4 linked regions of the Medicago truncatula genome follow. The protein of the gene in region 1 binds, or shares a complex with, the protein of each later gene. Links are inferred from orthologs where the notes say so. Each region holds a gene or a part of one and is shown in the gene's direction. Other genes may lie near its edges. The genes, in order: 30S ribosomal protein S17, chloroplastic; 30S ribosomal protein S31, chloroplastic; rps8; 30S ribosomal protein S6 alpha, chloroplastic.

Region 1 (5,693 bases):
CTAAATTTAGTATGCCTAGACAAGTATTTTCCATGGATCTATGAGATTTAACAAAAGTCTTCAAACATGAGAATAACTTAAAAGGTTTTTGGGATGAAGTGGGTAATAGGGTCCGATCAATTTTACCAATATAGAATAGAAATCGTGAGAACAATGGACTATGTTGCGACATAAATTATTTTGTCCCAAATAAATGATTTTGCGACATAAAATATTTTTGACCCAAAATTCCATCCTAATTTTAAGTTTTTCTTCAAGTGGGTATATTTTGTGGGACAAGAGATTCAACTGTCATTCCAATCTGTAGTGTATTAAGTGCATCTCATGGGATGGGTTGGACTAGCTATCGTTGGATGATTAACTAGTATATACATATTGTGTCATCTCATTTCTCTTACTCTCTTTTATTCAAAAACTTACTAAGCAGTGCTTCTTTGTGATTTAACTTCACCTTTTTATCTAAGCATTGCACATGGAGTTAAATGATTTGAATAAGAACTAACGTGGTTGTTAAAATTAATTTGAAAAACGACTATGGTTTAACTAAACACATGTCTTTGCGAAAAGATTTTAAAATGATTAACATAATTCAAATCCCCTTTTGTCGTGTTTTTCCAACATATTCAAGTGGTATCAGTGCCCATTGTTGGAAAATATAAGTAAAATGGTTTGACTTGTTTTGTGTTTCAGATTCAATATCCACTTCTTTTTAAATTTTGAAAATTGAAGCTCCTGTTCAACAATTTACTTTTTATTTTAAAACCATGGATTGACAAAAAAAAAATCATGAAAATCTTGTCTTTTAAAAACAATTCCCACTTAGTTTTTTTATGGATTTTGTTAACGAGTGTCTTGGGGAGATCCCAAATTTTAAAAATATTCTTTAAAAAAAATCAAATGTTACAAATTCTAATGCATTAATTATATAGATTTTTATAAAAACTTATTATTAAAGGTGTTTAAAAAGTATTCCGATGACACTCGTTAACATTTTTTTTTTAGATAAATGATATTTGTACATCCATTTTATGACAACTTTTGTACAACCTTCTCTCATAATCACATTATCTTCTTATTCTCTCTCTTCCCTTTTTTTTTTTTTCTCTCTCTCTCTATTGTTTTTGACCAATAAAAAGAGAGAAAAGGTAGGTTGTCACAAAAGTTGTCACTAAAAGGTTGTTCAAATATCATTACTCTTTTTTTTATATACTCTCGGAGAAGAATAAAAATGAAAAAAACCTCAACCTATGTTTTGCGAATAGAATGAGAAGTTCTCATTCAAATTTGAATCTTACAATACTAACTTATGATGTATAGAGAAGTGAATCTTACAATACTAACTTATGATGTATAAAGAAGTACGTCAACATATGATTTTGTTAACAGAGATAGAAAGTCAGTTCAATTTCAATGATCTATGGTGATCACATTTGAAGGTGGGTAAAGAACACAAGAGAGGGGAGATTGAATCGTGTTGCCGATTTTTTTTCTTTTTAATTTAACCATTTCTATTAAGTCGACTTGTTTACTAAAAGTTGAACACAATAATTCTTTTATCTATTAAAATACTTTATTTTAAAACTAAAGAGACAATGTGAAGTTAAACTATAAAGAACTCGACATATGCATTGAGAGAGAGGATACACCAAATTCATCCTTGTTCACTGTCAATCTGATAGCTAGTCCACCTTATCCATAGTGATTTTGTCATCTCAACAAGAGAGACTTCTTTAACTATAATCTCCTCAAGAGTTATCCACCCCAATATTTCACGAAGCATCAATCTTGTCAAAATCCATCACCCCTATCATTTACCATGTTACCAACCATGATAACCACATCATTTATCCGGTTTTCCAACCACGTTGATCATATCACTTACCCGGTTGCATAACCATATGAGTTACCAACAATGGTTATGACTTAGTTAAGTCTATCCGTCATCTCACACCAAGTGAGGTCTGGTCTTTAAGGTCTGTGCAGTATAGTAAAATGGGTGCAAAGTAAAGTGGGGTTTGAGTTCGTATATGACTAATACAAAATCATTCTAGGATGATAACTATCTAAGAGAGGATATTACATAAAAATCATGTCTCAATTCAAGAGTACTTCTATCTTCTTGATTGATTTACAAATGATCTAGACAATTCTCACTCGAGAGGACGTTTCACAAAGTTCCTAAATCATGTTATTGGCTTTAACTAGATTTATTTTTTAAATAATAATATAAGCTTTTTTCTTTTAGGTGGGGTGTTTTGAACACTAATTGTTGATCTTCACATAAAATGATATGGTGATTGAAACATAAGTGATGATAGCAACAACAACAACTCTCTCGACGCGAGTAGGTTTTGTTTATATAAGTTCTAGAATCCTATTGTTGGAGAATACAACAAGGGTGAAGTTTAATATGGAAAAGGGAAGTTCTTTCCTATCATGGGAAAGTTTAACCACAACCATTGATTTAATAGTTTTTTATTTGGGTGGCTTAGATCTATGACTTGGTAATTGTTGTAACTTTTTGATGGTTACATGGTGGACCAAAAAAAACGACCCACCATTGATGAAATAACAATTTATCATTTGTTTTATTGATTTATTGTTTTTTTTAATTAATTTTTTTCACCATTCTTCCTCTTCTTCCACCCTCCTCTTTTCTACCTTCATCATCATCTTCATACATTAATCAACATCAAACTCAGAAAGAGAAGGAAAAAAAAAAACAGTAAGAAATTAAAACTCAAAAAATAACAATCAAAATCATAGATCTACTCTTCATCATTCTTCACCATCATCACTAAATATCCTATATCCACTCTTCATCATCAAGATCCATGGTTCCTCAATGATAACAACAACAACCTAAAATCATCATCTTCATTTTCATTTTTATTCATTCATTTTTTAAGAATTTGTATTTCCAGATTTTGAAATTCAATAAAAGTATCATCCCCTTATTACCGTAACTTAACCCTTTTTTTTATTTTTAAACAAACGTATCATTAACAAACACTCACTGCACAAGCTATGCATAATAGGAGAGAAGAAACATTACAAGTGCCAATAACAGTCCCTAATTATAGCAATATCAAATGGGAGAAGAAACCTAAGAACAGTAGCACGAGACCCTAAAGTCATGGTACCGCAAAAACCAAATAACAACAACAACACCAAGCCTCTACTGTCCCGGAATTATAAGGAAACATGATGAATGTTGAATGAAATGAGTTTAAACATTATTATTGAGTGAGGTAATTTGTGTTATGAAATTCATCTGTGTTATACATTAGCAAATGTACCAGAAAAAACAAAAAAGGATTAAAAAACTAATTTAATTTTCATTTTTTTTTATATTTTTGAACAGGTTTGAGACAGCCACCTGTACTGGGAAATGAACCTTTCCCATGGTGGGAAAGAAGTATCCATTCCCAGGTTAAATGCCACCTACAACAAAATATACAACCGTTGTGAGGATACATATGATAAAGTACAAGTATCTCTTGTATATCTTTGTATACAAAGTGACTAATCTGTCTCATCGAAGAGATTTGAGAGAATCACTTCTTTATACTTTTAGGATTTTACCTAGATAATTATCTTGATATTTGAACGTATCAATCATCCATACATCATTATAGATTCGATTTGTTATCTTTTGTACTTTGTTTCTTCATATTTTTAAGGCTAAAATATGGTTTTAGTTCCTGCAAATATGCTTCGTTTTGGTTTTAGTCCCTGGTAAAAAAAAAATTTGTTTTTGGTCCCTGCAAAATTTTTTGTTTTTGAAAATAGTCCCTGACCCCACTTTTGTGATGATTTGCATACGTGGCATATTATCACTGAACCAATTTTGTAGTTTTTGGTCTCTGCAAAATATTTTGTTTTTAAAAAAGGTCCTTGCAAGGGACTATTTTCAAAAACAAAACATTTTGCAGGGACCAAAAACAAATTTTTTTTTTACCAAGGACTAAAACCAAAACGAGGCATATTTGCAGGGACTAAAACCATATTTTAGCCTATTTTTAATGAATCAGTTATATGATTTATTAAATCAACTTCTTATTTTAATAGTTATTGAAGGGTAAAATTGGCCAATAAAAGTTTAATACAAGTAAGGCATAAAATAAAAGAAATAAAGAGAATGAATCACTATAAAAGATTTAGTTTTATCTTCTTCTTATCTCTTCACAACACAACACAACACAACACAACAATGTGGCTTCTGCAACTTCCCAGCACGCTCTCAACACCATTCCTCAACGGCAACAATGGCGTCGCCCTCACCCGTCTCTCAAAGCCCACATCCACACTCTCTCTATCCCAACCCCAATCCCTTCCATCAATCAAAGCTATGAAAACAATGGAAGGAAAAGTTGTGTGCGCTACCAACGACAAAACAGTGTCGGTGGAAGTTACTCGTTTAGCACCTCATCCCAAATACAAGAAACGTATTAGGATGAAGAAGAAGTATCAGGCTCATGATCCTGAAAACGTTTTCAAAGTTGGTGATGTTGTTCAGCTTTGTAAAATTAGACCTATTAGTAAGAATAAGACTTTTCTTGCTGTTCCTGTTCCTGCTAGGAATTCTGGTAAGGCTAATAATTCTTCCGGTGACCTCGACATTCCGCTTCAATCGGAGCAAGAAGAACAGCCTCAGACTCAGGCTTAGTTTTGCAGTCTCTCTCACTCTTTAATTTGTTGTGTTTTTATTTTTTGTACTAATATGATGAAATTGGAATTGAGAAATTGATGTTGTTATTGTTGTTGCTGTTAATTTGTTATTGTTATTATGAAAAATTATTATTTGATTAATGTTGCTTTGTGGGTGTTTGTTGAAATGTTGGATGTGGTTTATGATAAACCCTCAATTGTGAAATTGCTATGGTTGTGTAATTATGTTGAGAATTTTATTGTTTAGTGTAATGGATATGTGTTTGATGAAGGGCTCGTTTGGGTTGATTTATTTTTGAGCATATGCAAGCAAAACAGTTTATACAAATAAATAAACTTTTATGTATTATTCATAAACTTGTTTAGGTAGCTTATGAAAAAACAACTTATGAAGATACAATTTTAATAAAGCTTATTTGCATAAACTATTTTTCATAAGCTAAAAAATAAGTCAATCCAAATGGGCTTAATAGATTTTTAATAGTATGAAGCGCGACACACAAACACGGACACCAGACGCAACACTGACACATTGACACAATTCAATGTAATCACATGTGTTGGGGTTGTGTCGGACACATCATACGCCTGCGATCATAAGTGCCGGCGGGAGCAGGAGTATCCTCCTCCAAAGAGGAGTGCTCTTGAATTGTCCATTCTACATCACATGTCAGGATATAGATACTCTGATTGCAGAGAGCCCGAATTCTTAGCTGTAGGTTGGGTGTTGATCGTGTGTTTGGGTGAGTGTTTAACAAATGTGATTTTGAATTATCTTAGAGTTTGTAATTAATCTGACCAAAATTGGCTTTAAAGGAAAATGATTTATTTACTTAAAGTGTTTTTACTCTAAGTTAGAAATATCTCATGAAAAAACTATGTTCTATCACTTCCAATTGAAATGGGATTCAAATGTCAAATAAATTTGCTTGAAAGTCATCAAACATCTATATTTTACTAAAATAATGTTTGATGAGTTTTTTAAGCCGATTTGTGGAAGAATTGTTCTAACCGTGCCGGGT
Region 2 (6,512 bases), on another chromosome or scaffold:
AGTCATTCAAGAATAGGAATCTCCCTGAGCCATGGTATGTTGAATGACATAAAGTTGAGTTAATGGGCGGACATTTTTAATTTCTATGAATGTTCGGTTTTTCTTCCCTCGCTAGGCACACAAAACATCGCTTAGCGAATTGAAGCAAAAAATTAACTTTCGAAAAAAAAAATTAGATTCGCTAGGCAAACATGTCCTTGCATACCGAAGTCAAGCTCCATTTTAGAGTCAGAATCCCTCTCTATTAGGTTTGGTTTTAGAATTTCAGAACCCTTACAAATAGAGGTGCAGGTTATCATTTGAAGTCAAGCTTGCCTAGCAAATCAAGGTTTCTTCAAAGGAGGGAAAAGCCAACAGTCTTTAGATATTTTCTTGAACCGCCTTAGTTCACTTAGCGGATCCAATTTTGCCTAGCAAATCATATTTGGCTTTTCCTTTTGGAACTCATTGTTTTGGCTCGCTTTCACCATGTCAAGCTCGCCTAGAGATCGTGTTTTTCACCATATGTCTTTGGGATGCTCTGACTTGGCTTCTGGCGCGTGTGATTGCCTTCTTTTACTCTGTATTGGTGTAGTCATGCTCAAAACCTATAAAAATGTATGGGAAATAGAAGTAATATCTTTGTGGCACAATTTACGAATATAAATGATATTTATATCAAATTTGGGGGTTTTATACTGAATTACTTACAAAACAAGTTGATAAGTGTTATAGAAAATAACAGTAATTTGACACTTATCAAGTGACCTGATGCATGTTGGTGAAATGTACAACGATAATCTAGAGGGGTGAATAGATTACCCAACAAAAACATGGTTTTGAGATTTTCTTTGAAAAACGAAATTGAGTTTGAATATTGGAAATTGACAATCGTTTCAATCATATAAAGTATGTGTTTGGAATACCGGTGGAAAGCTCAAAAAAGCACTTTTAGGCAAAATCTGGAATTTTCAGCTTCATAAAATCACTGTAAAAGTGACATTATGTAGCGTGCACCGTGAAAAAAAATGTGATGCCAAACACTGCTAAAGTATGCAATGACAAATAACAATTCAAATTTTTTTTTTTAATATAAATAACAATTCAAATTTGAACAAGTAATTCACACTTGAATTATATCTATTCAAACAATCACTAATACACAATCAAGATATAAAAGACAATCCAATCTTAAATCAAACCTAATTGGATGAGAACAAAAACTAACACAGGAGACAATAGTATTTGATATATGATGATTAGATTGAAGTGTTCATATCAACAATTCAAAATGATTGAAGTCTCAATTTAGGTTAACAAAATTTGTTCACAAAGGAATTTCAAATTATTCACTCACTTATCAAGTATCAATTTACCTAATCAATAATTATCATATATCAAATAATAGTTTGCGAGAATTAAAAGAGAAGGGAGAAGAAGACATTGATTTACAGACATCTCCTCTATGGGTTTCTACGGCCTTCAATTTCCGAATCCAAGTGATCCTAAATTTTTAAGTTCCCTTGAGCTTTGACTAGTTCTAACATTGCACAACCTTTATGGACCCAAGTAGACTTAATAAAATATTTGACTAACTTGCATTCAGTTGTATTTCTATCTAACAAGTTATTTATTTTTAGGTGTAAATAATAACTAAGAACAATTATAGTATTTTCTAGTACAACTAGGTTATTTTTTTGATAAAAGTTTCACTTTACTCACTTTAGTGGATTGAAATCCTATCCAAAAACTTCTAAAAAAAATTAGATTTTTTTATGAAAAAGAAAAGTAATTCATTTAACTAAAAAAAGAGTACAAAAGACTGGGGGCAAAAACCCGACCCAGTATAACCACACAAAAGTAGGGCTGAGCAATAGACAGTTTCGGTCAAATTCAGGCCCCAAAGTGTCGATAAGAGATCAGAAACAAAACCATTTTTGATCGAATGAGACAACAGGTAATTCGGGTGACGGGTAAGATGGGTGACGGGTATCTTGGGAAGTTTGTTTCAGTTGAGACCATAGAAAATCCTCATTTTCCTTTTCTCAAGTTTCAAACAGCCACACCGGTTGTTAGTAGGTGGTTCACCGACATCATCATGTCGACGCCACTCGAAGAGGATTAAGATTGCATCGGTAGTTTTTCTTCTGTGTGGACAATATATCGTAGCACATGTGCAAAGCCATTGTAAGCATTCGTCACATGGTGGAGGATGTTCGCGACGACCTTGAGTGTAAGAGAGCAAGTAAATTTTGTTGAAATAAGAAATCTTCAAAATAAAGGGTTTACACAAAACCAAACTTGAATGGAAAATTGAAATTCTTTTAGAATTGAAAATGTAATACAGTTTGTTTAACTTTAAAGATAAAAGAAAAGTGGAACAAAATATTGTTTGCGTGTTGAAAGTTTAAAAGAAAAATTAATGTTTGTGTCAAATTATAGTTTCAAGGCAAGACAAGTAATAATCGAAGTCTTGAAAAGTTGAAATCCATAATTGTGTACTCGATTTGCTTTTAAACCCGACTGTTTCCCCCATAAAGCTGACGTTTGGATGGGTTTTAGGCAGGACAAGGGTTTATGCACACCCCCACACAAAAGTGATCGAATCATCCCTGACAAACAAATATACAACACAAAGATGGTATCGAACCTATCCTAAAGGGTAATGAATAGAAAATACGATCTTGAATGGGATAAGAACAATCACCATAACTGATGGTTCAACATAATCCAAACCCGAAGCATCATACACTTGTTGCATAACCCAACATACCTGCAACACAAGTGCAAAACCAAATTGCAAAGAAAAAAAAATTAAATAAACCTGTGACGAATTTTGACAAAGCATCAACAACTTCAAGCCCAAAACACATGACACACATTGTACTCGAATTAAGAAAACAATAACTCAAACGCAGCACATGTGAGCATTAACTCACATAGACATCAATCCGCGCAACATTGGTCAAGGAAAACCAACATGGCGATCACTAAAACAAATGACAATGAACAACAAGCCCATATATGAATTAACATTAGATCCAACGCAAAATTAATTCGTATTGAACAAAGAATCCAGGAACTTAGAAACACAAGAACCAAAGGCGGCTAAAAAGTTGAGCGAACTAGCAACAAACAAAGCCATCGAGATTCGTAGATACGGATGAGAACCCAACTTCATATCGAAGGCACCATTTTAGATTAGGAACCAATCATTAAAGCGCGATAAAGAAAGAACCCAACATATGTCGTGACGGTGGAGGGCGATTGCACCACCAGTCAAAGGATCTACATTTCAACAAAAAAGTTTTGGATTGTAAGGAAAAAGTGAAAAAGACTAAGTGTGCTGCGGTAAAGAGTTTGAAGAAGAAAAAGAAGAGAAATCTTCTCTCTTTGTAGAATTTTCCCAAATATGTTTCAAGCTCAAAAGAAAAGTAATATTAAAATATCTCAATTAAACAAATTAATTTTTGGTTAAAAAATTAATATTTCTTTTAAAAAAATATATATTTTGAAGAGAAAAAAAAAAGTTTTAATTGCACTTTCGGTCTCTTATCTTTTCAAAAGTTGTGATTTTAGCCCCCTAACTAATAAAAATACAAAATAGTCCCCTATGTATTGGATCTTTGGTAGTTTTGGCCCCTAAGATCACTTTTGACTTAGTCTTCGCTGACGTGGCATCCACATCCCTTAAGTGAGGTGCCACGTGTCGACCATTGTGGATGTCACGTCAGCGAAGACTAAGTCAAAAGTGGTCTTGGGGGCCAAAACTGCCAAAAATTCAATACATAGGGGGCTGTTTTGTATTTTTATTAGTTAGGGGGCTAAAATCGCAAGTTTTGGAAATATAAGAGGGCAAAAGTGCAATTAAGAAAAAAAAAGACAAGTATTTGAAATTTCATGAAAAATGGACAATATTTAAAATTGACCATTGATGTAATTTACTAATTAGATGTTCATTCTAAACCATTGGATCTAAAAAATCGCAGCACATATATTCCTCAATCAAACCAACCTTATCAAAGTGCCTTCGTTATCTATCCTCTCAGTTATGGCCATGGCATCATCACTGCTTCTAGCATCACCTTCTCCACTCTCTCTTCAACTCCACGCTTCCTCTTCTCACCTTTCCTTCTCTCAATCCCAATCTCTTCACTCACCACTCATCACTTCATCATTCCCTACCCTCTCTTCAACCTTGTCTCTTTCACCAACCCCTTCTGGTAACTTTTTTCTCCAAAAAAAATGGAAATTTTGTTGTGAATTTGGCTTATTGTATTTGAATTTTGATGACCCAGTTATTGATTTTGGTTCTTTTTTGTTTTCTTGTAGTGTATTGTGGCAGAGGTGATAGGAAAACTGCCAAGGGCAAACGGTTCAGCCATTCGTTTGGAAATGTAATGTTCTTTTTTCCCAATTCCCCCACTTATTTCAATTATTGAGTGTATGTTTGGTTCCAACATGAATTAGTTTTGTTAGAATTGATTTTAGTTAAAAGTGACTTTATCATAAATTTATCATGTTTTACACATACATTGCTGTAAAAGTGATTTATTTTTTTTAAGAATCAAGTGTAGTATCTTATCTTATTTTGAATTAACAAGTGATTCTTAATTCATAGTATTATTTTGGATAGTTTGACTGATTGAATTAAGTGTAGTGTCGTATCAGTTTAATATTTGATATGTGAGCCAATGACGCATGATGTTAAATTTATTTCTTGTTGACGCATGATGTTAAATTTATCATGTTTTACACATACATTGCTGTAAAAGTGATTTTTTTTTTTTAAGAATCAAGTGTAGTATCTTATCTTATTTTGACTTAACAAGTGATTCTTAATTCATAGTATTATTTTGGATAGTTTGACTGATTGAATTAAGTGTAGTGTCGTATCAGTTTAATATTTGATATGTGAGCCAATGAAGCATGATGTTAAATTTATTTCTTGATGGGGAGATTCCACCGATACTTGCCTCTCGCGCGTTGCTTTGAGTGGCACTATACCATTTCTTTGACGCACCCCAACTAAGAAAAGAAATTGTTTGAATCAAAATTGTTTTTGGATGTGATTCATATTAACATTAAAGTAATTCTTCCCTTTTTGTTTTGCTAAATTATTAGTGTTGAATGTGTTTTCAGTCTTTATAATTTATATTTTTTGTTTTTAGTCATTGAACCGATTTTTTTGTCCTAAAAAAGGGACTAAAAACATACATTTTAGTAATTTGTAGGATTGAAAGGTTAATACTGATCCTAAAAACAAAATTCGAAATTATTAAAGCACTGAAAACATATTCAATCTTTATTATTTGTCGTGGATATTTGTTGAAATTGTAGTGGATGTTGTGGTGAATACTTCCAAGGTTATTTTGAAAAATATGTTATTTGATGTTATCAGGCAAGGCCGAGGAACAAGAACAAGGGTACAGGACCACCAAGGATTTATGCTCCACCAGATGCTACCAAGAAAGAGAAGCTTGAAGATAAGGAAGTGATTGAGATTGAAATTAATGAATCCCTTTTTCCTAGTTAGTTGATTTTAGTGTTGCACTGTAATTTTGAGAGTTTCATGATTTATAGTTTTTGACATATGGATTCCATTTGGCATATACTATTTGGATTTTGCTTGTTATCCTTATTTGAGTTCACTTTGCAACCTTATTTTAGTCTCTATTATGTAAGCTCTTGCTATATCGTATTGAGGGTGGGATTGGAAACACTCTTATAGTCGAGGTTTAAAATCCTGGTCACAGTTTGCGAAAAAGTTGTAGGCAAATACTGCCAATTCGGTCATAATTTTTGTCGCGATGTGGTTGGGAAGACATCAAAAACCTCGATGTCGTGGATTTTTCTCCTTAGGATCTGTGCTGTTGTAGATGTCTAACAACCAAACAAAAGTTTCCTATGGGAAAAAATGGTTAGGAACGTTGGTAGAGTGATAGAATCCAAAAATGTTGGAAAGGTCATGTTTGTTGAATTAAACCTTTGCTTCTGCAACGTGTATGCTGTTGTTACACAGTCACTCTTATGCGCTCAATTTCGGGCATATGTTGCATGGTTTTTCATTATTTGCATTATACTTTTATGGTGTTGTTTGATTCATGTTGTCAACCCAAGACTTTGGTTGTTACTGTCTTCTTAGAATACTTTTAGACATGTTAGAGTTAAACAACTTAGAAGAGAGATGAAGATACCGACTAGTTTATTACCATTGAAGATCGAAAGGAAAAGATCAGGCAGATTTAAATGCACCAGAAATTGTTGCATCTGTTTTTATCGTCTTTGTTAGCTTCATCTTCTTCCTGTTGTTTGTCATCTAATGATATTAGGATAGTATAAGTTTGTTATTGTTTATGAAGAGAAGAGACACATATCTGTCTTTGTTATTTGAACTGGATAATGCTGGTTTGCAAAGATTCGAGCTTTGGTTTGAATTTGTGTTTCGGTTTGGAAGTTCATAACAATATTTGAAGCCAGAGTGTGCTTTTGCTCAAATCACATTGAAATTCCCATTTTTCGTCTCAACAACC
Region 3 (6,248 bases), on another chromosome or scaffold:
AGTCATTCGGTCTGAATGCTACATGAAGAACATAAGCCAGATGAAGGAACAGAAAGACCTAGGATGTAGAATATCATAACATGACTGATTTGGCAGATTTAGATTCCTATATTATATACCCACTCATGTGGTACTTCGTTATGTCATAATATAAGAATTATACAATATATATATAAGATCCAGCTGTATAGATATCATAATCTACATCCAGAAAGCCGTATGCTTTGGAAGAAGCTTGTACAGTTTGGGAAGGGGTTTTGATTGATCAAAAAGAAGAATCTACTTCAACCGATATGCCCTTAGGCACGGCCATACATAACATAGAAATAACACTTGGAAAGGGTGGACAATTAGCTAGAGCGGCTGGTGCTGTAGCGAAACTGATTGCAAAAGAGGGGAAATCGGCAACATTAAAATTACCTTCTGGAGAGGTCCGTTTGATATCAAAAAACTGCTCAGCAACAGTAGGACAAGTAGGGAATGTTGGAGTAAACCAAAAAAGTTTGGGCAGAGCCGGAGCTAAACGTTGGTTAGGTAAGCGTCCTGTAGTAAGAGGAGTAGTTATGAACCCTGTAGACCATCCACATGGTGGTGGTGAAGGGAGGGCCCCGATTGGTAGAAAAAAACCCTCAACTCCTTGGGGTTATCCTGCACTTGGAAGAAGAAGTAGAAAAAAAAATAAATATAGTGATAATTTGATTCTTCGTCGCCGTAGTAAATAGTCTAGAGTAGAGAAAATAGAATTTGTTTCTTCGTCTTTACAAAAGAAAAGAGTGATTTACTATGACATTATATGATTTGATTTTGTTTTTTTAGAGATTATATAATTTTATTTTTTAAAATATAAGAGAAAAAATTCACTTTTTTAGAAATTATAAGAGGAATAATTAACTATGACACGTTCACGAAAAAAAAATCCTTTTGTAGCAAATCATTTATTAAAAAAAATAAATAAGCTTAACACAAAAGGAGAAAAAGAAATAATAATAACTTGGTCCAGAACATCTACCATTATACCTACAATGATTGGCCATACCATTGCTATCCATAATGGAAAAGAGCATTTACCTATTTATATAACAGATCGTATGGTAGGCCATAAGTTGGGAGAATTTTCACCTACTCTAAACTTCCGGGGGTATGCGAAAAATGATAATAGATCGAATCGTTAACATTAATTTTAAGGTAAATTTAGTATACTAATAGTCATTAATAAATAAATATTAATTAATAAACTCATTTCATTTTTTCGTGAAAATATAACCTTAGGAGAAAGAAGAACCAATACATAGAAGTATAAGCCTTTGGTCAAAAAATATTTGTGTCTATTCACAAGACAAAGCGCGAATCGTAATTCATAATATTTCTATTTTTAAAGGGTTATTATAATAGAAATTATGCTTTATGGAGTTGAGCATATTATTCTATTTTTTTTTTTTGAATTGCTTTATTCTGCAGGAGAAAATGCTAGTCACAATATATAGTTCAACGAACTAAGTCAATGAGTCATAAAGATATATAATATTTTTTATATAAAAAAAGTAAAAAAAAAGATATAGATAAAAAAGTAGACAAATAAGACGTATTATTTTATATAGAGTAGTGAGGAATTATGGGACAAAAAATACATCCGCTTGGTTTCAGACTTGGTACAACTCAAAATCATGATTCTATTTGGTTTGCACAACCAAGAAATTATTCCGAGAATCTAAAAGAAGATAAAATAATACGAGATTGTATCAAGAATTATATACAAAAAACCCCCGGTGTCGAGGGAATTGGACGAATAAAGATTAAAAAAACAATCGATCAGATTCAAGTCATAATCTATATGGTACTTCCAACGTTATTAACGGAGGGTAAGCCTCGAAGAATCGAAGAATTACAGACTAATGTACAAAAAAAACTTAATTGTGTGACGCGAAAAATTAACATTACAAGTACAAGAATTCCAAATGCTTATAGCGACCCTAATATTCTTGCAGAATTTATAGCTGGACAATTAAAGAATAGAATTTCGTTTAGGAAAGCAATCAAAAAAGCTATTGAATTAGCTGAACAGGCAGGTACAAAAGGAGTTCAAGTACAAATTGCGGGACGTATCGACGGAAAAGAAATTGCACGTGTCGAATGGATTAGAGAAGGTAGGGTTCCTCTACAAACCATTCGAGCTAAAATTGATTATTGTTCCTATCCAGTTCGAACTATTTATGGGGTATTAGGAATCAAAGTTTGGATATTTCTAAACAACGACTAATTTACTTTTCCTTATTTTTAGCGTTCCATCTTTTGATAAAAGAAAAAATGACGAATTCTTATTCCCAAAAAAGAAATGACAAATTTTATAAGATTGAATAAAAAAATTGATTAATCATTTTATAGTAAAGGAGTTGCTATGCTTAGTGTGTGACTCGTTGGTTTTTTTTAGAGTGGTTAAATTTCTACAAGAATTCGTAGAATTAATTACTAAAGAATTAATAACCTACTCATCGCTTACCATTATCTGGATATAAAGAACCGCGGAAAATAGAAAATCAAAATAAAGATCTATGTGGTGATATAATTATAGCAACTGAAATAAAAAAGAATCTGATTATTAGTTGTAAAGCAATAAGAATATACAGATAAATGAAGGGGTGAAAGAAAGATAGAAAAAAAGATATCAATGATATAGAATTCGACTATGTAAAGGTCTATGGGTCATTTCGTAAAAGGTAGTGTAATAAAGCATCAATATTCTAAATTCATCCATATATGGATGAATATATTCGTAGAATAGACAAATCAAGAGCTGCGAATCAATAAAACTGAGAAGGTTGATTCAACAAAAAAGAATAAAATAAATAAGAAAATTTTATGAAAATAAAATCTTATTAATATTAAAGAGGCTCCATTGTAGAATTTAGACCTAACCATAAATAGAAAAGCGATGGGAACGATGGAACCTGTGAATACCTAAGATTATATTAAATTTCATAATCTTACTGATTCATTAGATGGGATGGCGGACGGAACTAAGAATTCATTATTTTTTGAGGAGTTGTGGACTAACCCAACATTACATCTTAAATTTATAATGAAAGAGTAAATATTCGCCCGCGAAAATGTGGATTTTTTTGAATTTAGAAATTTTTGCCAATATGATAATAAAAAAAAAAAAAGACAAATATGGATTCGTTAGAACCTTATATCAAAACAACATTATCTAGTTAGATATGGATAGCAAAAATGGTCTATAAGAATCCATATTTGGTTCTATATCAAAGCAAGATATACAAATTTCTAATATGTCAAAAAATCCCGCGATTGTATTCTATTTTAAATTTAATATTGTAATTTAAAATTAAATTTTTTTTGGTTAAATATTTTTGAATCGATTTATTCGCGAGGAGCCGTATGAGGTGAAAATCTCATGTACGGTTCTGTAATAGAGATGGAATTGAGAAATAACCATCAACTATAACCCCAAAAGAACCAGATTCCGTAAACAACATCGAGGAAGAATGAAAGGAAAAGCCTATCGAGGTAATACAATTTCCTTCGGAAAATATGCTCTTCAGGCACTTGAGCCCGCTTGGATCACATCTAGACAAATAGAAGCAGGGCGACGGGCAATGTCACGAAATGTTCGCCGAGGTGGGAAAATATGGGTACGCATATTTCCAGACAAACCTGTTACAGTAAGACCTACCGAAACGCGTATGGGTTCGGGAAAAGGATCTCCCGAATATTGGGTAGCTGTCGTTAAACCCGGCAAAATACTTTATGAAATGGGAGGGGTCCCAGAAAATATAGCTAGAAAGGCTATTTCAATAGCGGCATCCAAAATGCCTATACGAACTCAATTCATTCTTTCAGAATAATCATTAGAACGAAATAGGTCTTTAGTATGAAAAAAATGGTAATTGTTGGTTTCTTTTTTTTTTTTTTTGAACACAGAATATTTTTTTTACTTCAACTTTTTGACTGAAAGATAGAAAAAAATGATATGATTCAACCTCAAACCTATTTAAATGTAGCCGATAATAGCGGAGCCCGCGAATTGATGTGTATTCGAATCATAGGAGCTAGTAATCGACGGTATGCTTATATTGGTGACATTGTTGTTGCTGTAATCAAAAAAGCAGTACCAAATTCATCTTTAGAAAGATCTGAAGTGATCAGGGCTGTAATTGTACGTACTTGTAAAGAACTAAAACGTAGTAATGGTATAATAATAAAGTATGATGATAATGCGGCGGTTCTCATTGATAAAGAAGGAAATCCAAAAGGAACTCGAATTTTTTCCGCAATAGCCCGAGAATTGAGACAGTTAAATTTCACTAAAATAGTTTCATTAGCACCCGAGGTATTATAATACGAGATCGTGATATAGATATATTATTTAGGACTGGAATGAATAGGAAGGAAATCTATTTGAATATATATTTGAATAGAAGTGAAATAGAGTCCTAAATATATTAGATCTCACATATATACCTTATATACTTGTGTAATCATTATTCTATAATTATGAATATTTATATTAAGATTATTACATAAATATGAAAAGTATACATATCGATAAGTTATTAGAAATAGTAAGTCATTATATTAATTAATAAATATTTTTAAAACGAAATAATAATAATAGATGAAAAAAAAAAAAGAAAAAGGAATGAAATCTATATATATATTGAATATATATATAGATATAGATAGATTCAAAATACAAATTCGAATTCAGAATTCTATTTGTATTTTTTTTTTATACTTTATACAAAATACAAATAGAATTCTGAATTCGATATAATATTATCTATCTAGTTTATAATTTATAATAGGTCATTCATTCATTTTCTTTCTATCTTTTTTTAGTTTTAGAATATTCTATATTATAGATTTACATTATACTGATTAGACTAATTAGAATTTTCTATCTATATATAGTATTATTATATTCTCATATTCAATATATGATATTTTATTGAATCAAAAAAAAAAAAAAAAACAAAAAACAGGAGCACGTTTATTATATCGAAAGTAAGGAGCAATAATCTATCGTGGGTAAAGATACTATCGCTGATATGCTAACTTTGATACGCAATGCTGACATGAATCGAAAAAGAACGGTTCAAATACCACTTACTAATATCACCGAAAACATTGTGAAAATACTTTTACGAGAGGGTTTTGTTGAAAACGTTAGAAAACATGGAGAAAGCAACAAATACTTTTTAGTTTTAACTCTACGGTATAGAAGAAATAGGAAAGAATCGTATAAAACTTTTTTAAATTTAAAAAGGATCAGTACACCTGGTCTACGAATCTATTCTAACTATCAACAAATTCCGAGAGTTTTAGGAGGAATGGGGATTGTAATTCTTTCTACTTCTAGGGGTATAATGACAGATCGAGAGGCTCGATTAGAAAGAATCGGCGGCGAAGTTTTATGTTATATATGGTAATGGTAAATTTGCCGATATCCGATTTCTATGAAAAAATTATATACATTATTGTAAATGGAGTAGAGAAAAAATGGATTTCTACTATGTACTCCTGATACCTTAGTGAATGTGTGAAGAGGATTTAACTAGAATAGAAATAAAAATTCATGAAGATTAAATTACTGAATAACTTCTGAGGGTATGTTCCATGTTAGAGAAATAGAATTTAAATAAAATTCTAGGCTATGTTTACAAAAAAATTGAACGTACTTAATGTATACGACCGGTAAAGGAGAAAAAGGAAGTATAAGTCACTTAATTTAATTTTTTAACTTTAAACATGTTTTTTAGGAGGCACAATTATAAGTTAAAAATGTAAGGAAAACCTATTTTCTTCGAATATATAGATTTGGCATTCCATTTTAGTTAAGGAGTTAATTTAAAAATATGAAAGTAGGAGCCTCTGTTCGTAAAATTTGTGAAAAATGTCGATTGATACGCAGGCGAGGTCGAATTATAGTAATTTGTTCCAACCCAAAACATAAACAAAGACAAGGATAATATTTTAACAAAAAAAGGGCTTTCTATTAAAAAGAAAGTACCAAATGTACAAAAAAAAAAAAAATGATATTAAAATTCAAATAAAAAATCTTATTAATATTCCATTTTCTTAAATAGTAAACAAAAAAATCTAAACATTTAGATTCTATATTAGAATTTAGTTGATAATTATAAGTATTCTAATTATTGCTTGATTTCAAAAATTGTATTCTATATTAATCGAATTATAGAATACAATAGAATAACTAGTTAAACAAGAGT
Region 4 (6,886 bases), on another chromosome or scaffold:
TTTCAGTTTCTGTTTATTTTGAAACTGGTTCCATGGAAATGAATTATTCAATTTTTTTTAACAACACTAGAGCTTATTTAAACATAGACGCATGTTATCTTGGCATAGTGTTTAATTTATTAGATATTTTCCTTTTAATGTTCTCTTTCCAGGTCATACTGTATGATTTGAGCAAAAGACCTTTAGAACGTAGGTTTCTAAAGAAAGACGAAGTTATAAAAGCTGGTTCCTTAGTATATTTTGCTGGACATTTAGTTGATGTTGGAGAACCTGAGGGAAGTCATCAATCTCCAGTGAAGTTGAGTGAACTAGGGAGTGGTGGTGAAAATGTTGTTAAGACACAACAAAGACATGTACAAAAGGTTTGCCGCGAGCTCCATCCGTCTACTGCTAAAGGTTAGTCCTTGGTTATTCAGAAGTTTCTCTAAGTCATTGTATTGTTGTGCGATTCTGTACTTCTTTGCATGTCTTTTGATTGTTTTGAACTTACATATTCCCGTTGTATTATAACCACCCAAAAAAAAAGAAGCTCAGAAATTTCCGTTGACCTCACATAGTCCTTTTGCTCATTTAGTTTTCATGTGTTTTTTATAAGCTTCTGTCTTGTCTTTTCATTGTTACCCATTAATGACACCCATCTATCTCAGAAATTGAATGCAAAAGAATAAATATTAAATAATAATCATTTAGAAATAGAGAAAAAAACCTCCTTAAAATCAGTGAAATCGCAAGAGACAAAGAAGCTAAGATAAAAAGCACCTAATCTGTCTCTAGAAATAAAAGACTATTTGAATAGCATGATTTGATAAGAGGTAGCAATTTACTTATTGGTTTCATGTGATGAATCACAAACAACTTCAAATGTGCTATACATGCATGAATCAATGTGATTAATAATTTATTATCACTGCCATGAAAAATAAAATTATCAACAATTTGAATCACATGATTCAAGTTTCAACAATTTTTTTCTTGCATGTTCCAACCAATTCTCATCAAAATATTGGATAGTCAAGTGAAATTAACTTGTTACATGAAAAGAAACTAAAGGCGTCGTGCTATTGGTATTGGGTGCACCCTGATAAGTAGTGATAACCATGAGCAGGAAGCTTGTCTCAAATGAGATGTGGATAGGTTTTGATTTTTCACTCTCGCCTGTTTATGGTTAATACCATGCAGGACAACCTTCAAGCAGGCCCTGTCTTCGGCAAGGTGCAGGCTTAAACTCTCATTTTGCAGTGATAGAAGAGTTAAAAGCAAACAAGACAGTCCCAGTAGTCAAGCCTTTACATGATGGTTCGTACTTCGTACCTGCAGGCCTACATCATGGTGTACTCTTATATCCATGAGCAGGAAGCATGTCAATGAGATGTCGACAGGTTTTGATTTTTCACTCTCATGTGTTTATTGGTTATATATTGCAGGACAACCTTCGAGCAGGCCTTGTCTTCGTCAAGGTGCAGGCTTGATCTCTCATTTTGCAGTGATAGAAGAAATAAAAGCAAACAATACAGTCCCCGTAGTCAAGCCTTTACATGATGGTTCGTACTTTGTACCTCTGGCCTCGATTCTAATCTCCCTCGTTTACTTCTTTCTCCCCTCTTTAGTAGGAAGCACGAGTGAGCTTTGGACAGGTTTTGATTTTTTAGTACTCTCATCTGCTTATGGCTTATATCATGCAGAACAACCTCTGAGCCGGCCTTGTCTTCGGCGAGAAACAGGCTTGAACTCTCCATTTGCCAAGATAGATGTAATAAAATCAAACAAGACAGTCGAAGCAGTCAAGCCTATACGTGACGGTCCGTACCTCTGGCCTTGATTGAGTTCCATACTCATGCCGGCAGGCATCTCTAATTTTACATATTGAGGGAAAATATCAAAATATAACTTGGCAATACTATACTTTTACCCTCTAACATAAGATAAATTACGAGCTTACTAAAGTAAAATTGGATCACACCGATCATTCTGCGACAAAAAAACACAGGCATGTAATGCCTCTGATATAACATGGGGCTCTTCATCAACATTGCTGATCTCAATATGTCAATTCACTATTTGTTTGTTACTTCATGAACATTGACTGATTTCTGGTTTTTGTGCAGCCAATCAAATATTGTCCTTTTTACAAGACCCTAAGCCTCATGAATGTTATGTCGCAGGTTAGACACATAACCTAGTTAGATATCGAGCTCTCTTTAGGTCATAATTTCGTGACTATGTTGGATTTCTATAGGTAGCCGGTCTCCCAGTAGATCATATCAAAATATTATGGATAGGGAATCAACAGAGACTATGAAACCCCCTGATATTAGCACTACATCTACCAAAGGCAAGTCATGACGGATTTATTTGATTTCTTGGTCTTTTATTTTTATTTTGGGAAAATCTTATTAGCTATTCTTGTTGATTTTTGTGATGTTAGTAGCCCCGTTAACATTACTTAATTTGGGTTCTGCAGCAACATGTGTAGATGGTAATTTCCAGTTCACGGGGAATGTCAAAATGTCCCACCAGGTCTACTCTCTATCTGTTTGCATTTACTCAAGATGCCATTTCATATCATTGCTTTCTGTTGTGGATTAGACGTCATAAGGCAAATATTAATTCTTTCTTAGAGGATTGATTGAGATTTTTTTAAAAGTATTAAACAAAAAGTTAAGACCTATTAAGTGACTTTCTAGAATGGTGCTAGCAACACACTCTTTGATTGGTTAAAATTCACATGGTTCCCACCATATCATGTGGGTTCCATATGAATATTGACCAATCAAATTGTGTTGGAAAATGTGTTGCTAGCATTATTCTACTTTCTATTTCTTAATTTTTTTAACAAGTGGCCAAGAGTACAATTAGTCGGATTGTAATGATAATAGTGGCAGCTAGAATGCAGAATGTTCATGTGATTTCTATGGCATTAGTTTCATGCTTTCCATATAGCTGAGAACTTCTCTAAGGCGCGTTGTTTGGCAACGGGAGAAAAAGACTTTTGCTCTATGAATTTTGTTTGTTTTCTATATACTGAAAAATCATCAGCTGTCTCAAATTTATATACTTGGTTTTGAAATTGTATATGTAGCCTTACTCAGAAAAGGAAGCTCAGGAAAATATCAGTGATGCAAATTTTGACTTATTATTATCAAGTCCGGGTGGCGATTCTTCTTGCCCTATTTCCAATGAAGGACAGAGTGCCGAGGATATCTCGAGTGAAAGAGAAGCGTTCCCAAGCTTTGACCTTGGATTTTGACCGGTAATGCATTTATTTTTTCCTCATCACTTAAGGCAGGATGCCATCCTAGATGTTTTTATGTTCCTACTGCAACCTTTTGGCATTTGGCATATACCTTATACAACATAATCATATAAGATTGAAATGGCAGAAGAAACATTTCCCATCAATTTCCAAATACATGAGCTGATGTGTGTTGTTCTCTGTTGTTTCGCGCAGGCCAGCGTCTAGACAGTCAGCTAAATTTGATTACTATTTGTCTATATTAGAAATGAAAAAAGGATGGAGAGCTATGATGGTTCAGTGGCCAAGCAACACTCCTTTGCATCTTGCCATTCACTTTTATTTTTATTTGGCATAATTGCATGTTTGATCCCTTATGTTTATTTATAAAGTATTAAATTAAATTTAGAGAATCCCCGTGAATTTAGCTCAGTTGGTAAGGACAATGCATAATATATGCAAGGTCCGAGGTTCAAACCTCGGACCCCACAAAAAAAAAAATTAAATTTAGAGAATTTCAAATGTCCAAAAGCAAGGAAATTTCAAATTTCTTCCTTCTTATATTTTATTTTTCAAATTTTGCAAGTTGATCCCCATATTTTTCAAAATTTTGAAATTATCCCCTGAAAAATTTCAAAAAAAGTTGCAAATTGGGCTGATTTTTTTTTAAAACGACAATTGACCCCTCAAAATTTTTCAAAATTATAGTTTGACCCCCTTACAAATTTTGAAATCTGTTAATTGGCCCAAAAAAATAGAATTCATAAAGGTAGCCCAACAATGATACTTTTTGGATGAATTAAAATCATTTTGGTAAACTATATTGTTTGAATGATAATTTGGAGAATTGTTATATATAAAATTCATGATAATATTCTCAATATAATAAAAATATAAATTAGCAGAAAATATCTAAATAGAAATTATTTTAACTTCAACTCAATTTTTTCCTAAAAAAAAAACTTCAACTCAATTTTAATTAGGGATGATAAAATGGGTTGAACCTGTTTAACCCACATTTTTTAGCGAGCTGAGTTGGGATTTTGAACCAGCTACGTGGGGTGTTCGCTCCGCCTAATCAACTAAAAAATGGGGCGGTGATGAGGTGGGGTGGGTTGGCCCGTTAGATTAACATTTAAAAACAAACTCTCTTTTTTACTTCTTTTTATTTATATAAAAGTCACAACTCATAATTAATTTTTCAATTTTCTCCTCCTATATTGGGGAAAAAAGTTCAATTTATTTATCACTTTTGTTTCATGATTTTAGCCTCATATTTTTAACGGTTAGTCAATTGATTACTAAATTGTTTCATGATTTTAGCCTCATATTTTTTACGATTAATCAATTGATAACTCATGAAATTTTTATTTTGAATGTCTTATTGATTTATTATTGATTTTTATTTAGATGATGCAATTTATATGTTTGAATTATTTTCATATTTATAGAGGAGTCATTATACATTTAGATTTCCTTAAATTGACTTAAGTTTATATATTTTTACACTATTTATGTGAAATTTTTAATTAATATTTTTTAAAAAAACATTGACAGCTCAACATGTCAATCTTGTAAAACAGGGTATGGTAAGATTTTGAACCCTACATCTCTTGTGGCCTATTCCTTTTAGACGAGTTATTGACAAAACAAATCAAAATCAAATTTACAGAATCAATTTATTTAAAATTAATTTTTCTTTCTTTCATAAAAAAAATTAATTAATTTTTCTTATACCGAGTGAATTCTACACTGCGCTGTGTGCACGCACTGAGTTGGCCTTATCTGACTCTATCTTTTTTTTATCCGTTCTTTCGCTAACAGTTCATCTTCTTCTTCTCCTAAGCAGAAGCATCAATGGCATCCTCTTTACTCAATTCAATTCCACTCTCATCTTCTTCTTATCTCTGCACTCCTCACACATGTTCACCATTTCGTGCATTTCCTGAATCAATTTCCCACTTTCACCAAAACAGGAACAACTTTTCCATTAAATCACAAACCCTAGACTTCTCTGGTTCTTTCTTTGAAGGTGGATTTGGTTCGGGTGATGACCCGGTTACTCCCGGAACCGGGTTCACTGCTGTGGAAGAGAAAGAAGAACCGCAATGTCCACCTGGACTCAGACAGTACGAAACCATGGTTGTTTTGAGGCCTGACATGTCTGAGGATGAGCGTCTTGCACTCACCCAGAAGTACGAGGAGGTCAAATTCTTAACCTTTTTACTTCTTTCTCTTACCTTTTGTTTCTTAAGTTAATCCATTTGAAGCTTGATGATGAGTAGGTTTTATATATGTGTGTGATACTATACTAGAGGCGACCGTATTTGTTAGAATTGCAATCAATCCGCAAACTGAGAATTCGTATCAACAAACATACAATTGCTAAGGGCTGTCTGTACATGAATCAGTATAATTCTGTATCACACCAATACTAACTACATGATTCAGTGATTATTTTATTTGCATTCACTATGTTTGTTTGATTTGTTACCTTGTTTCCATTCTTTCAAAACAAACACTTTACACAGTCATTTCATTTCATTTCTCTGCTTTGTTCTTCTGAAAACATAGGCAGATAGGCTTTGTTCTTTTCTAATTGGAATAAAACACTAATCCTAACGATTTTCCTTCGTGCAGCTTCTTGTTGCTGGAGGTGGCATGTATGTAGAGGTTTTTAACAGAGGTGTTATTCCACTAGCATATAACATCCAGAAGAAAAACAAGGAAGGAGAAACCAACACGTATATGGATGGCATCTACCTCCTATTCACCTACTTCACGAAGCCTGAGTCCATAACCGCCCTTGAGCAAACATTATTGAGGGATGATAATGTTATCCGATCAACAAGCTTCAAAATCAGAAAAAGGAAATGTTAGTTTATTTTGGCATCTCCAGTAGCTCTGAAAAAAAGAATGTAACAATCATCATTTGTTGTTGTGGTATGTTTTCTTTCATTTTCATATGGATTCAAGTATTTTTGTAACAAGGTTGGATTAAACTAAAAGAGAGATGTAGGTGCTATTACTGGCAGTCTGCAGAGTTATAACACCTAGTACAAAGTGCTATATATTAGCCAATTTGCCATTCGGTTGTTCACATATCAAGTCTAAATTTTCATATTTAGAGGTAGAAGTTCATTTTGTTATCTTAAATCATATTAGGAAGAAAGTTTACAATGACTAGTGATGAATTGGAGAATAATATTGCTTAATTTCATAAATTGAGAAGGTGAAATGCATTTCTACAAAAAGTTATTAGAAAAAGAAATTACAAGAGAATGGATCAAATGGCCTGTAAATTTACCTTACAAGCGACTGGAGTTCCTTGGTTTTCAACCGGATGATAAAGTCATAGCAGTAGCAGGAGGGAACTGCTACATAGCAAATGGAAATAATTTATATTTATTTTTGCCGTAGTATAGATGTGCACTTTACCACTAGCATGTTGATTGTGACGCCGAAAATGCATGCATCTTCGTTACTTGAATATCAAAATATAAAATCGTTTATGACACCGTTTGTATTTATCTCTATCTGTCATTTACTTTAAATCTTCTACTTCTACAACTTACACACATTTAAAAAATACACAAAAATAAAAAATACAATTTACCATCAACATAATTGCACAACACACAATGCTAAATTCTG

The links.
Region 2: 30S ribosomal protein S17, chloroplastic (region 1) and 30S ribosomal protein S31, chloroplastic share a complex: the UniProt entries of both Arabidopsis thaliana proteins name them as parts of the 30S ribosomal subunit. The link is inferred for Medicago truncatula from reciprocal best matches to the Arabidopsis thaliana genes RPS17 and PSRP4.
Region 3: 30S ribosomal protein S17, chloroplastic (region 1) and rps8 share a complex: the UniProt entries of both Arabidopsis thaliana proteins name them as parts of the 30S ribosomal subunit. The link is inferred for Medicago truncatula from reciprocal best matches to the Arabidopsis thaliana genes RPS17 and rps8.
Region 4: 30S ribosomal protein S17, chloroplastic (region 1) and 30S ribosomal protein S6 alpha, chloroplastic share a complex: the UniProt entries of both Arabidopsis thaliana proteins name them as parts of the 30S ribosomal subunit. The link is inferred for Medicago truncatula from reciprocal best matches to the Arabidopsis thaliana genes RPS17 and AT1G64510.

What each region holds. Positions count from the first base shown.
Region 1 is NC_053043.1:49,901,046-49,906,738, reverse strand, and holds 30S ribosomal protein S17, chloroplastic, read left to right. Parts: upstream 1-4,174; 5' UTR 4,175-4,213; coding exon 4,214-4,669; 3' UTR 4,670-4,942; downstream 4,943-5,693. UniProt on the Arabidopsis thaliana protein: One of the primary rRNA binding proteins, it binds specifically to the 5'-end of 16S ribosomal RNA. Required for optimal plastid performance in terms of photosynthesis and growth. Required for the translation of plastid mRNAs.
Region 2 is NC_053045.1:4,921,393-4,927,904, forward strand, and holds 30S ribosomal protein S31, chloroplastic, read left to right. Parts: upstream 1-3,982; 5' UTR 3,983-4,030; coding exon 4,031-4,202; intron 4,203-4,311; coding exon 4,312-4,376; intron 4,377-5,380; coding exon 5,381-5,515; 3' UTR 5,516-5,643; downstream 5,644-6,512.
Region 3 is NC_003119.8:40,686-46,933, forward strand, and holds rps8 (ribosomal protein S8), read left to right. Parts: upstream 1-5,042; coding exon 5,043-5,447; downstream 5,448-6,248. Other genes in the region: rpl2 (ribosomal protein L2), read left to right, coding at 294-722; rps19 (ribosomal protein S19), read left to right, coding at 894-1,172; rps3 (ribosomal protein S3), read left to right, coding at 1,613-2,257; rpl16 (ribosomal protein L16), read left to right, coding at 2,396-2,404, 3,453-3,863; rpl14 (ribosomal protein L14), read left to right, coding at 3,989-4,357; rpl36 (ribosomal protein L36), read left to right, coding at 5,874-5,987. UniProt on the Arabidopsis thaliana protein: One of the primary rRNA binding proteins, it binds directly to 16S rRNA central domain where it helps coordinate assembly of the platform of the 30S subunit.
Region 4 is NC_053049.1:46,338,516-46,345,401, reverse strand, and holds 30S ribosomal protein S6 alpha, chloroplastic, read left to right. Parts: upstream 1-4,982; 5' UTR 4,983-5,089; coding exon 5,090-5,437; intron 5,438-5,872; coding exon 5,873-6,112; 3' UTR 6,113-6,332; downstream 6,333-6,886. Other genes in the region: uncharacterized protein, read left to right, coding at 153-396, 1,180-1,296, 1,425-1,541, 1,683-1,799, 2,106-2,162, 2,237-2,332, 2,462-2,517, 3,080-3,247. UniProt on the Arabidopsis thaliana protein: Binds together with bS18 to 16S ribosomal RNA.